Linked DNA regions of Coturnix japonica. Each later gene encodes a partner of the first gene's protein in a complex. Links are inferred from orthologs where the notes say so. Each region holds a gene or a part of one and is shown on either strand. Other genes may lie near its edges.

Evidence for each region. Proteins that work in one complex are often made in the same cells at the same time.
Region 2: the proteins of CNNM2 (region 1) and ARL15 are in contact, whole or in part, in a crystal structure (PDB 8F6D), measured with the Homo sapiens proteins. The link is inferred for Coturnix japonica from reciprocal best matches to the Homo sapiens genes CNNM2 and ARL15. Residues at the interface, in NP_060119.3 of Homo sapiens: Asn490, Val492, Pro521, Leu522, His523, Phe524, Val525, Phe526, Thr529, Glu537, Lys542, Ser543, Gln549; in NP_061960.1 of Homo sapiens: Tyr92, Ser94, Arg95, Gln98, Gln128, His129, Pro130, Gln131, Cys133.

Annotation. Positions count from the first base shown.
Region 1 is NC_029521.1:20,566,709-20,572,271, forward strand, and holds part of CNNM2 (metal transporter CNNM2), read left to right. Parts: intron 1-1,849; coding exon 1,850-2,019; intron 2,020-5,212; coding exon 5,213-5,306; intron 5,307-5,563.
Region 2 is NC_029547.1:17,990,615-17,996,875, forward strand, and holds the start of ARL15 (ADP-ribosylation factor-like protein 15), read right to left. Parts: upstream 4,079-6,261; 5' UTR 3,680-4,078; coding exon of another isoform or gene 3,668-3,679; intron 1-3,667.

The DNA.
Region 1 (5,563 bases):
GGTAAGGATGAATGCCAAGTGCCGCACTGCATGTGTAGAGTCCGTCAGATTAACGACTAGCAAGCTCACCCCATTAGGAAGAGCTCAGGGAACAAACTGCAGAGGACTCGATACCGCTGGCCAGCTGACTGTAATTGCACTCTGGCACTTCATCCAGAAAGAGATGCTGGATTTTTTGCAGGACGGCATAAGCCTGTTCCATGAGACTTGTGACTTGAAGTGAAAAACTCTCAACACACTTAATGCAGGCTGTGCAAGAGGTTCAACTGTACATTTAAAAGTGGATTTCTTGCTGGCTTGCGTGACCTCCGTTGATGGCTTCAGAGGACAGTTGTCCCCGTCTCACATCACCTTGATGCTTTAGCCCTTGTGTGGGCAGTCTGGCAGAGAGGCCCGGGGCTTGAATGCTGACATTGCCTTTCATCGTAAAGTTGGTCCCTTCACCTCAGGGATGGGACCTGTTAACATGAGAGCCTGTGGAAAGCAGACCTTCCTATTGCTCATGTTGTCTCTCTTTGGCATATAACGACTTCTCAATATGCAGGTCATTCAGACATGCATCTTTCACTTCTATATTCGTGGACTGAAAGTGATAAAGTTCTGTCTCCGGTTGGCTAGCTCAAGCTGGAAATTAATGCTTCCCCTCCTCTAAGATACAGTAACTGTGTGCCTAGATGCTCTCAGTCCACCTTCATGCTTTGTTCTGCCTCTGCAGCTTAAATGTGTGTGTGATCAGTTATTGCATCTCAGCTGGGGGGCCGTCAGTCCTTAAAAGGCTCGGATTTCTGTGGCTCACGTGCACGTGAGCATCTCCTTGGTGAGAGGAAACATTGCTACAGGAAGATGTGGATTTATCAGCAAGCAGAGCATTGTTCACGTAGTTGTATAAGACTCAGAGGAGTTCCCTAAGCACCTGCTCAACAGACATAGTCTTGTAGTGCTGTGTCTCTGCTTGTTTTGTGGATAAGAGAACTAACTGTGTAGCTTCGAACTGCCAGTGCTTCGAAGTGGCACTGCGGAATGAGATGAAAGCTACAATTTTGGGTTATCTGCTCTAGTCTGAGAATAGTGTCTCTAGCAGGTGAGAGGTGCTGGGTCATTAATGGTCCTGTTCTGAAATGAGGCATTAGGAATGCTTATCAGTTTGCATGTGTGAATCTCGATGTCCCTGGTCTAACTCTCACACAAGGATGAGCGTTTTCATTTCTTGCAGCTGTTGTTGGCAATACTGATGATTGAAAAGCTGGTGGGTAGGGAACCTTTTCTGTTGTGTCAGGTATTAATCCCACATGGTTTGAACTGACTTGCACTGTGCATCACTTTGAGTAACTTCCCGTGTGAACCACGGCAGCTCAAATCATGTCTTCAGATTATGCAGAGTATCTATCTAGAGTAACTTTCAAGGCCCCAGACAGTGATTTTTTTTTCTAACTTTTATTTTTTTTAATGCAATAAATACAGTAACTTCAATACATTCGGAGGAAGGAAAAATTACATCCAAAGGTTCTGTGTACCCCAACTGTAGAGCTCTTCCATTTACAACTCTCCAGTGAACCTGTTCAACTGTGACTGCACTCTCACATGGGCAAGACTGCCTTCCTGTGTCTTTTTTCTTTCAGATGAAGACATGCTTTTGGTGGTTGTCGTTTGTTTTATAAATACTTCATTGGGGTGTTCTTGTTCTTTTCCCCTTACAAATTTAACAGTCTTAAGAGACAGGAAGCGTGCAATTCCATAATGGATCTCCCTGCATCTGTGTGTCGTTTATGGGCAAATGCTTATTAATGAGTACTGCTAACTTCTTGCCAGGCGTATGAAGTGTAATGCCTACTTGTATCTTGTGTTATAGAAGTAGAAGCCTTTGGTCCATCCCAGATGTCAGAGAAGATCCTTCTCAGGCTGCTAAAACATCCCAACGTCATCCAGGAGCTGAAATTCGACGAGAAGAACAAGAAAGCCCCAGAACACTACCTCTACCAGCGAAACAAGCCTGTCGACTACTTTGTTCTCATTTTACAGGTCAGACACGTGGTTATGTACTTGATATGTGCAATATTGTGCATCTCCTGACATATCACTCTTGATATCTCTTCCACTTGTTGAAGTTTGTTGTCTTTCAAGTGTGGGACTGGAGCTTTGCTCATGGAAAATGCTTGTCTCCTTCATGATCTTGCCACACTTCAAAGAGCTCATTCAGTTGCTTTTAGCCCCAGTTAAACCTGCTGTGATATCTGCTGAAAGTTATTTGTGCTTTAGGTGTTACAATGCGGAAGAACCCTGGTGTGCAGTTGGCACTGCTTGTAGAACAGGGTATGAAAAGCCTTGTGTCAGTAGGAGCTTGGCCAGGATGCTTTCCCCAGTGGATTTTTCCATTTGCAAAAGGTGCCATGGGGAGTTTGACAGTTTGGGAAGAAGGCATTTCTTCTGTGCAGTTTTGAAGTCCAGAGCCTTTGGTGCTGTGATAAATGCAGGTTTCTGTGGGGCCACTGCACCATCTGCTGTAGGTACAGCCTCCTGCCGTAGCTCTGTGCTACCTTGGGCACCTGAGCTCTCGCTCTGCACTGAGATCATTGCCTTTGGGTGGGTTTAGGTTGCAGCCCTGAGGGAGGTGGGGAAGGACTGATTTCCGTTTGTTCACTATAGGGTCACTTCCAGTGCTGATCATCTCCCAGGGTCCCTTGATACAGAAACTTAACTCCCATCTAGCACTGTTCAAGCAGTAACAGTCTTTTAAATAAGAGACATGTTGCTGGAAAGGTGCTTATGTTGTCTTTGAGGGTAACTGAAATGAGTTTTGGTTATACAGGCAAGAGCACTGCAACTGAAACTGTGGCAGAGGACTTGAAACCTTCCTTTCCATTGCTTCTAACAACAGCAAAATGGTGAGGGTGTTAAACATCATCAGTGATCAACAACAAAGAAAGCACTGGAATATGATGATGTTGATTCAAGATAGTTCTCTTAAAAAAGAATTTGTTGCTTTTTCTTAAAGTGTTTTTTTAACTGCTGGTTCTTGTGTTCCGATTTGTTGCAACCTGAAATATTCCAGAAGCCAGACAGTGCTCCTGCATGAGGTAATGCTGCAAAACTGTAGCTGGAGGACGTGTACGATACAAAAGAACAAATGGTTCTTTCTGAGCTATTCTTCAATCAATAAGTATTTAGTAAAAACACTGTGCTAAGTCTGTAATGCTTTTGGAAAAGGGAGTCATGCAGTAGGGACATATTACAAAAACATTAAGTCTTGGTTCTGCAAGGATCGGTGGATCAATACTCTGCTTCTGTTATTTAAATCATCTGCTCTGGAGCATCTTCTCTCACCTGGAGAGATTGAGAGTACCTTCACAGTAAATGATACCAGAACAGAAGCAAATGTGTGTTTTTTGCATTAAGTTTGCTAGTTTAATCTCTGGAGTTACTGTTGCAGATGGAAAGTCACCTCTTTGCAGCAGTTTTTCTCTTAGCTCCTGGGAAGCTCTTCTGTATTGGTTTGCTTTTGTCATTGTGTTCTTTCAGAATTCCCATTGGAGCATTAAGCAGTACAAACCCAGAAACCAGAGGTGTGTACACTTCAGCAGCAGAGCACATCTCATAGCATACATGGAGAATCCTCACTGGCTCTTCAGCTGCTGTGGCAATGCCAAGCATGTGCAGCCTTCTTGTGGCCACCACTGGGAAGTGCTGTGTGTGCTGACAGCAGCGCTGGAACTGAAGCTCTGCTCTTAGTGCTAGTTACAACCTTGTTGTTCTTTGGGTGCTAACACCAGGCTGACTGTATGTGAAGATCAAAGCCTGTTTGCATATTTGTTTTAAAGACCTGGCCTTGGTTGGTAGGGAACTACCAATTATGAACAGAGTGAGAGCCCTGTTTATAACCAGTCTTTGCCTGGGTGACCAACAGGTATCTAAATATTGGTATTGTGGAGTGAAATTGATTTTAAAAGGGACTACATGAAGTGATTGGTTTTGATAGCAGGAAAGTGGGTTTGTGAGTTAAGCATCCTCTTTCCACGAGGTAGATGCCATTTTTTTCTGGTCTGGAATGGTTAGAAAAACTGACTTGACATGGGGTCACACAGCCTGATTTCTTTCCCATGTTTTTCTGCCCTGATACAGTGCTGTGAAATTAAACACATGTTTAATTAATATTAATTGCTTTTCGAACAGTAAGCACGTAGAAGTAAAAGCTACCTTTTGGACTTGTTTTAACCTGATTGTGTCCATCTGATGGTCAGTTCACTTGGTACATGTAGCGTGGGCAGTCTGTCTGCCCTTTCCATTGCATTGCAAGTAATTATGTTGTCTGCCTAAAATCTCAGCCTTCATGTAGCTCAGCTTGAAAGCTGCCTGAGATGGCTTCTTTCTGCAGTTAGGTCCTGTAATTCTCAGTACAGTACCAGTAAGGATGGAGGGGAAAACCAGATCCCACTAAGAAGCGAGTTATTTCTTACTATTTATATATCAAAATAACTGGGATATTTACTGCTACATTTGATATTGTAGTTTCTCTTCTAGAGTTGTTTGTATGATATCAGTATCTGTTGTTAAATGTTTGGTACAGACCACATCAGAAATGGGTACATTGTGTGGTAGGGTGGTGTGGAGCCTGGGAAGCTCTGAGGGTTTTTCTAAACAAGATCCTTCTCTTTTTGCAGAGTCTTAATTTCAGGGTGCTGGAATATGTAAAAGTGCCAGAAACCAACAAAATCAAAATAGCCCCAGGATTGCTGCATCAGGAATAAGGGCCTTGATTCTGTGGGAATCTCATCGGGGAAAACAAATTCCATCTGAGATGTTGTCTTCCATCTCCATTTCCCATATTCATGTTAGAAAGGACTTGATGTGAATGTGAGCCATGCCCTCAAATGGCTTCTCAAGACCCCAGATGACTGGGTGCATACAAACCTCTTGTGATATTGGCTGAGGACAGGCAGTCTGTCCGCCCTTGGATCATGTCAGTAGTACCATCTCTGTGACCCTACTCTCCCTGCAGGGACTTACAGGCACAGGGACCCAAGGGCCAGAATTGCCCAGGACAAGTATGTTCTTTCCCCCAGGGTCTGTCCCTTTTCAGGCATCATTACAAACTGCAGGGACCATGACACTACTTAGCACAGTCAGGAAGGACTGGCTACTAGGGCTGAAGTCTGGTCTTGTGCCTCAGGACCTATGGTCCCTTTTAATTGCAGCTCTCTGTCCTTTTCCTTAACAGGGGAAGGTGGAAGTGGAGGCTGGGAAGGAGGGGATGAAGTTTGAAGCTGGTGCTTTTTCCTACTATGGGGTGATGGCCCTCACAGCATCACCAGGTATGTCCTCTTACCTTCTGCTTCTGAAATACACTTGTGCACAAGTCTGTCTGCTGGTGTGTGTTTGTGAGGGGAGCATGCAGGGCATCCCCCCATGCCATCCTGTGGGCTGATGGAAGCAACACTATACTGCAAGAGGAACCCCTTGCCTGACACAACAGCCCAGTGGCAGTGCTGGTTCTGACATCCAAACAAGCAGCCAGCAGTGGCTGGTGGCTCCTGCAGGATGCACACATTGGCCTTAGCAAAGGAGGTAC
Region 2 (6,261 bases), on another chromosome or scaffold:
GGAGATTTTTGATCAAAGAAGTATTTGTTTCCCACATTCTTACTAGCTTTTACAGCGACTACTGTCTAGTCTACCATTATTTGATTTCATATGCAACACAGATGCAAGAGTTTGAAGCAATTAAGAATGAAGTAATCTTTCAGCACACTGTCAATAATGAGTCTCATAAATGAAGATTGATAGTGCTATCCTGGCAGCAAGGGAGAAGAGAAAGTAGAGGCTTCAAGGGAATTTCATGCTTGTGTTTGGTTGTATAAGCAGCATGTGCTTTGGATGGTCCATGGCACAGACAAATTTTAAGAGTTCATATCGAACCAGGAGAAAAAAAAAAAAAAAAATCACTCTACTCCTCTTTCTATTGATGAGGGCAGCACAAGAAGTAATGCATCCTATTTTATGGTGTTGGCCCACAAAACAGAGGCAGGTGCTGGTGGTAGGGCAGTAAGGGCTGAACCTTCCCACCAATATCCCATTAAGTGCTGTTGCTGTATGATGGATGGCAGCAGAGGGACGCTCTGGCAAAATGGTGTCACAGATGGAGGTGTGTGTAGAGCAAAGGTGTGTCACTGAATTCCTCCATGTGGAAAAAATGGCACCCACTGACATTCACTGATGCTTGCTGAACACTTATGGAGACCAAGCAGTGGATGTGAGCACAGTGAGGTGATGGGTGGTGCATTTCAGCAGTGGTAACAGTGATGTGAAAGACAAGTCACATTCTGGATGGCCATGCAGATTTTTACAAGCATGGTGCTCAGACTGTTGTTCATCATTGCCAAAGTGTTGAAAAACAGTGTTTTGTAGCTGAGAATGTGCTCTCTCAAGCAGTGTTATTGTGCTCTTCTTATTTGTTACCATCTCTATGGAAATAAATACGAGGCACTACTTTCAGAGCAACCTACACATTTTACAAACTATCAGGGCAATGTAAAAACTTTCCCCAGCCTCAACCCACACTGATTCTAACTGCTACATCATCCCCTAAAACAGCTTTTAAAGGCTCATCACAGATCAGGCTGATACATGCAACTGTTTAGTGTAAGATCATTATCTAATGCAGAGGATGCCACTAAAGAAATGTATTGTGAAAGTCTGCTCATCAGCTTAAGATCTGTACTGCAAGTACTACACATGAAAACTGAAGCACTGCCACTGTTTCCCTACAGGTTCTCTAAGCAAATACGGTCAGACTGGCTACAAGCCATACTTTTCACAAGATGCATCATGACATAATGTCATGAATTAAGCATAGTCTACAGAACATAGGCCAGCCAACACAAGTCTGTGTATGCACTGTAATTCTTCCGGACACAGAGCAGCAAGAATGAATTAGAAGATGGTTGCAGACACACTGCAGGATTAGGTAGTCACAGAACTCTTGCTGCTGTGTGCTCATGCAGCTGCATTCACACAGGAGGTTTTAAAGGAGTCCACCTTTAAGAGAGTGAAGATGTTTTTTTCTTCTGAAGGTTGAACTTGGCTCATCTATGCCTATTAAAATAAGAACACAGAAACAACACTACTCCTAACCCTGTAATTGCACCAATACAAAAGGCTCAAGGACCTCTTCCAGATACTTTAGACTGCTCTGTTACAATGCAAAGCCAAACCAGGCACAGCAGAAGATGCTCACCTAATACCAGTAATTTATCCATTCAGTGTTTCTCAGCGTCAGCTCCTTAAAGAACAAACCCTCCACCAGAGCAGGCCTCATCCTGAGATACCAGGAAAATGAGAGTCCTACATCAGTATAGGAAGTGACAGGTGAGGGCAAACTCCATGCTAAGGGCTCCCCAAAGCCCATGCTGCAGCCACTCTGACCTCAGATGTCCCAGCCTTCTTCTGCTGAGCTCCCTGTCTCACCAGCAAAACTGTCTTCCTGCAGCCAGGAAGAGCAGCACTGCACAGGCAGGAAGATCCCCTAAGGCTCCAACATGTGCATCCAATGGGAAGAACCAGCAAGCGATATTCTGTTTAGCAGCTGAAGCCTACACAGGTGAAAGACACCAACATAAATGCATAAAGCTCAATAACTCAAAGATTTCTTAACATACACCACTTTTATTTTCATGAAAATAACCAGGGCATGTAGGTTCTACACCTAACAGTTTATGTCCTTGCTGCTCCTGCTGGTCTTGCATGAGAAGTGGGCCCATCAGAGCAACAGGTATTCTGTAGGAGCCCTGTGGTCCTCCAGGACTGTAAAGATCTATGTTCCTCACTCACCCCACCAACTCCTTCTGCCAGAGCCTTTCAATTTGCTGCCATTAACAGAGAAAGGAAGGAGGACCAATCTCCTGCAGATGGCAAAAACAAGTACTGGAACTATGAGAAAATACTGTTCAACAGAGTTTGTTTTCATTCCAAGTAGTACACAGTCATAAGAATTAAAGTGTCCCGAATTTCTTTTCTGTTTTGGTCTACAGCTGTGTGGATGCCAGTTGCAGCAAGCATCCCAAAGCTCCAAGGGAGTCCTCCTGCATATGAGAAGTGATGTTAACCCCGGCCACAGTTGGTGGCCAGGGATGGACAGAGACACCTGAACTGCGAGGTACCAGCAGCCTGCTCAAGCTGTCATTCCCAATGCTGTATTTCCTGTTATAAAAACAGCTGATTTGTAGCAACTCCTGCAGCAAAGCAAGCCCCTACATCTCACATGGCACTATGTGATATATCAGGCCTGGGATAAGCCTGGCGCCAAAGACCTTCCCTGATGCAACAGAAACGTGAAGCAAGGACTTCATGAAGACTGAGGCCACAGCTATGTTTTTTATTTATTTATTTTAACTAAGAGACAGCACTAAAGAAGCCCACAAAACAGCAAGGAAAAAAAGAAAAGGAAGAGGACTAACAGGGTAGAAAGAGCAAGGGAAAAAAGCAACGCAGAGATACTCAACCCCTGCCTCCCTCCAGTGAACAGAGGAATGCGCTCCCCATGACCAAGTCTTATTAAATGCACGGTTCTCAGGTGGCTGGGCATCCACACAGCAGGTGGCAGCCATGAAGATTAACACGCTGACTGCAAACAGTACACTACGGCCAGTTCCATCTGGACATAAGTTATAAAGGAAAAACCCAAGGAACAGGAACAGGCCCTTATGGAGCTGCAAGGCTGCATTTGGTGCACAGCAGTTTATTATCAGTGTTTCATTAACCAGGTTCTTAAAGAGCAGCCTGCCTGCCAGGTAGGGCTCACCTTCTGTTCTGCTATACTCAGGAAGGAAAGCGCAGAGTTGTTGTCGGTGTGAACGTCCCTGAGCAACTCTAAGTCAGACGGGCAGGGGGACAAACGGACACCTTCTCCACCTCACTCATCACAGGGAAGGGAAAGCACAGGGAAGGGGCAGCCCGCTCCCTGCGCTCCGTCCCGCTGCCCGCAGGTGCAGCGCTGGCTGGAGGCCGCCGCCCCTCGCCGCGACCCCGCCGGCAGCGCGCCCGATAGGATCTCGGCGGCCGGTAAGGCCAATCTTCATTAAGGAGCCATAAACGCCGCTGTGCCCGCGGTGACAATTTAGCTCATTCAACCGTATCTCGCGCCCGTGCATTTAGGAGCGCAGCCGCGGCCCGGGTCACGGCGTTAGCGATCTAATAGCGGCCAAATGAGCGGGCGGCCGCACGCCCCGGAGGACGCGCCCACCCCGCGGGCAGGGGGTGGGGGTGAACCTACCAGGTAATCCATGGACCGCCGAGGAGCTCCGCGGGGCCGCCCGCTGACAGCGCGCCCCGCCGCCGGGGAACGGCGCTTCCTGCCCGATGGCGAGCAGGGAACGGCCGCGGGGGGGGCTCGGCCGGAGCCGCCAGGTACGGAGCCGAGGGGGGGATCGGCCGCCGGCGCCCCGAAAGCGGAGGAGGGGGAGGGAGCTGCGGGGGCGCCGGCGCTGCACGGCGGGGCTGTCACTGCCGCTGCTCTGCGCGCGCGGAGGGCTCGGTGCGAGGGAAGGAGCCGGGAGGGACGGAGAGGAGGAGACGGGAGGCAGGGAAGGAGGGAAGGAGGGAAGGAGGGCGCACGGCGGCAGCGCAACCAACCCCCGCCCCGCGCCCGCAGCGCCCCGCCGCTCCGCAGCAGCGGCCGGAGCCCCCGCCCCGCCCCGAGCGACGTCGCGATCAGCTGATCGCACACGTGGGGCGCCGCACCGAGCTCTTAAAGGCGAAGCGCCGTGCAGGGCGGCAGCTGCCGGCACGGCGGGGGATGTGGGCCGTGCTGTGTGCCGGCAGGAAGGCGTGAGGCACCGAACACCTCGTGCTGCTCTGACTTGACTTTCTCTGTTCAGAGGCGCTGGGGTCAAACGCTGCAGAGAGGTAGCAGGGTTCGGCACGATGCGACAGCCCCGTTCCTCTGCTCAGCGCAGGAGCCGTTTAATCTCTTCGAAATGGAAATCCCAAAGGTCTGTATGTCTTGTAGGTAAAAAGCCCGAATGTCTAACACAAACGCACTCCGGAGAACTTAAGGCCACATGGGGAAGGAGCGGCATCTGTACTCGCAGCCTTTGGCTGGTGCTCGGAAGTGGGCTCTGAGTTCAGCGAACGGCTGCTGGGTCCTGCTTGTTCCATACAGAATGGCAGGACAGATGGTGGCCTCCAGGCTGGCCTGCTGGCATTCCTATGTCAGGGCAGTGGGCACAGAGCTCCCCTGCAGTGTGGGGCAGTGAGCTGTCAGCTCCTGGCTGCAGCGGGGTGCAGCTGCATCCTGTGGTCGGCTGAGACTTTGGGGTATACAACCACAGTGATATTAGCAGCGTAGCCAAGACCACCGGTCGGGATTAGGTCTATGGCAGCTCAGGGGCTGTTAGCCATCTTTGAAAAGAGATGTGTGAAGGCTGAAGGCTTCATACCTCGTAACAATAACAAAAGCAAGATACCTCATCTTAGGGATGCCTGGGAGCAGGACTGCAGGCACCTGTGAACTTTAGCGTTTAAGACTTGTGACTTCGCTTTCTTTGTGCTTCTAGTGTTAGGCAGCAGTGCAGACAGGTGCATTGAGAACCAGGTGTCTTTCTTTGGCACTACCACTTCTGATGCTGAAGTCTGCTCCCAGTGGGAAGGGGGTGGTGCAGCATGAAGGACCTTTCACCCTCTCTAAGCTAATGTGGTAATGAGTAAAGAGTAATCAAGTTTGCAAATAATTACTTATTCCCGATGAGAACAAATAGGAGTTTTGGTATTAACTTCTAGAAACAGTCTTTCTTAGCGAGGTGAAAACAACTCAACTGCATTCAGCAGAATCTGCGAGTAAACATGTCTTTGATAAATTTGATATATGCAGGTAAGAAATTGTTCATAAAGCATAATTTTCCCAACCACTTATGACAGCAACACTAATATTCCATAATGGACTCTGACATCTGACCTGTAAGCTTTTACACAACTCAAAGTGACTTCTTAATACAACTGTGGGATGTGAAACTGAAAGACTATCAGATGAAATGACTTAGAAAATAAAAGTGCACTGCAGGAGCAGATATGAAGGAAAGGGGAGTGTATGAGTGAATGAGGATTCAAGAGCAATCAGGAATGCATGTTTATAAGGATATCAGGGAGTAGATGGCCTAGATTTGGCAAAGGGCAGGGGAAGAGGGCAGCGATTTCTGCTCTGATTTTTTGTGATGTTGCAACATCACGAGAAAGGTTCAGTCACAACGTCCAGGTCCAGCTGGTGTCAGTGTGTTGATAAGGTGTTTTCACCCTGCCCTGCCCAAAAGGCAGGGAGGCCTTGTTAATAGATAATTCACTTTCTAGTCATGTTTGATCTGAAAATAAATAAATAATAATAATAAATAAATAAAATGTTTTCTTTGACTCTCATCAGTTTACTTTGGAAATTGATGTCTGATAGGCATTGCAGCCTAAACTAAATGTAGACAAGTGCAAATGAAATTGTTTACATTTCATTAAGCCATATGCTAATTTTAGCATTTTAATTGCTGGAAAGTGGCAGAAGGGATACAGGTCTGGCCCTTCCTGCTGTTCAGTGCTCTGACTGTTTCCCTTATAGTCATGGCCATTGCTGGCAACTTTCTGCTGATCACGAGATGCCCTTTTGACAGTGGTTATACAGGCTGAACAGGGGTAGCTAAAAGATGTCTCCGAATAGCATTACAAAATCTATCTTCTGTCATTGCATGGGGTGTTTTTTTGTTCATTTGTTTTGGTTCTGTTTTGTATCAAATAATTTTTTGCTATGTTTTCCCTTTAACCTGTAAAAAACCATTTCTTCCTTAGCCATGTCACTTCTGAGAACAATCACTTTTGGACCCAACTTCT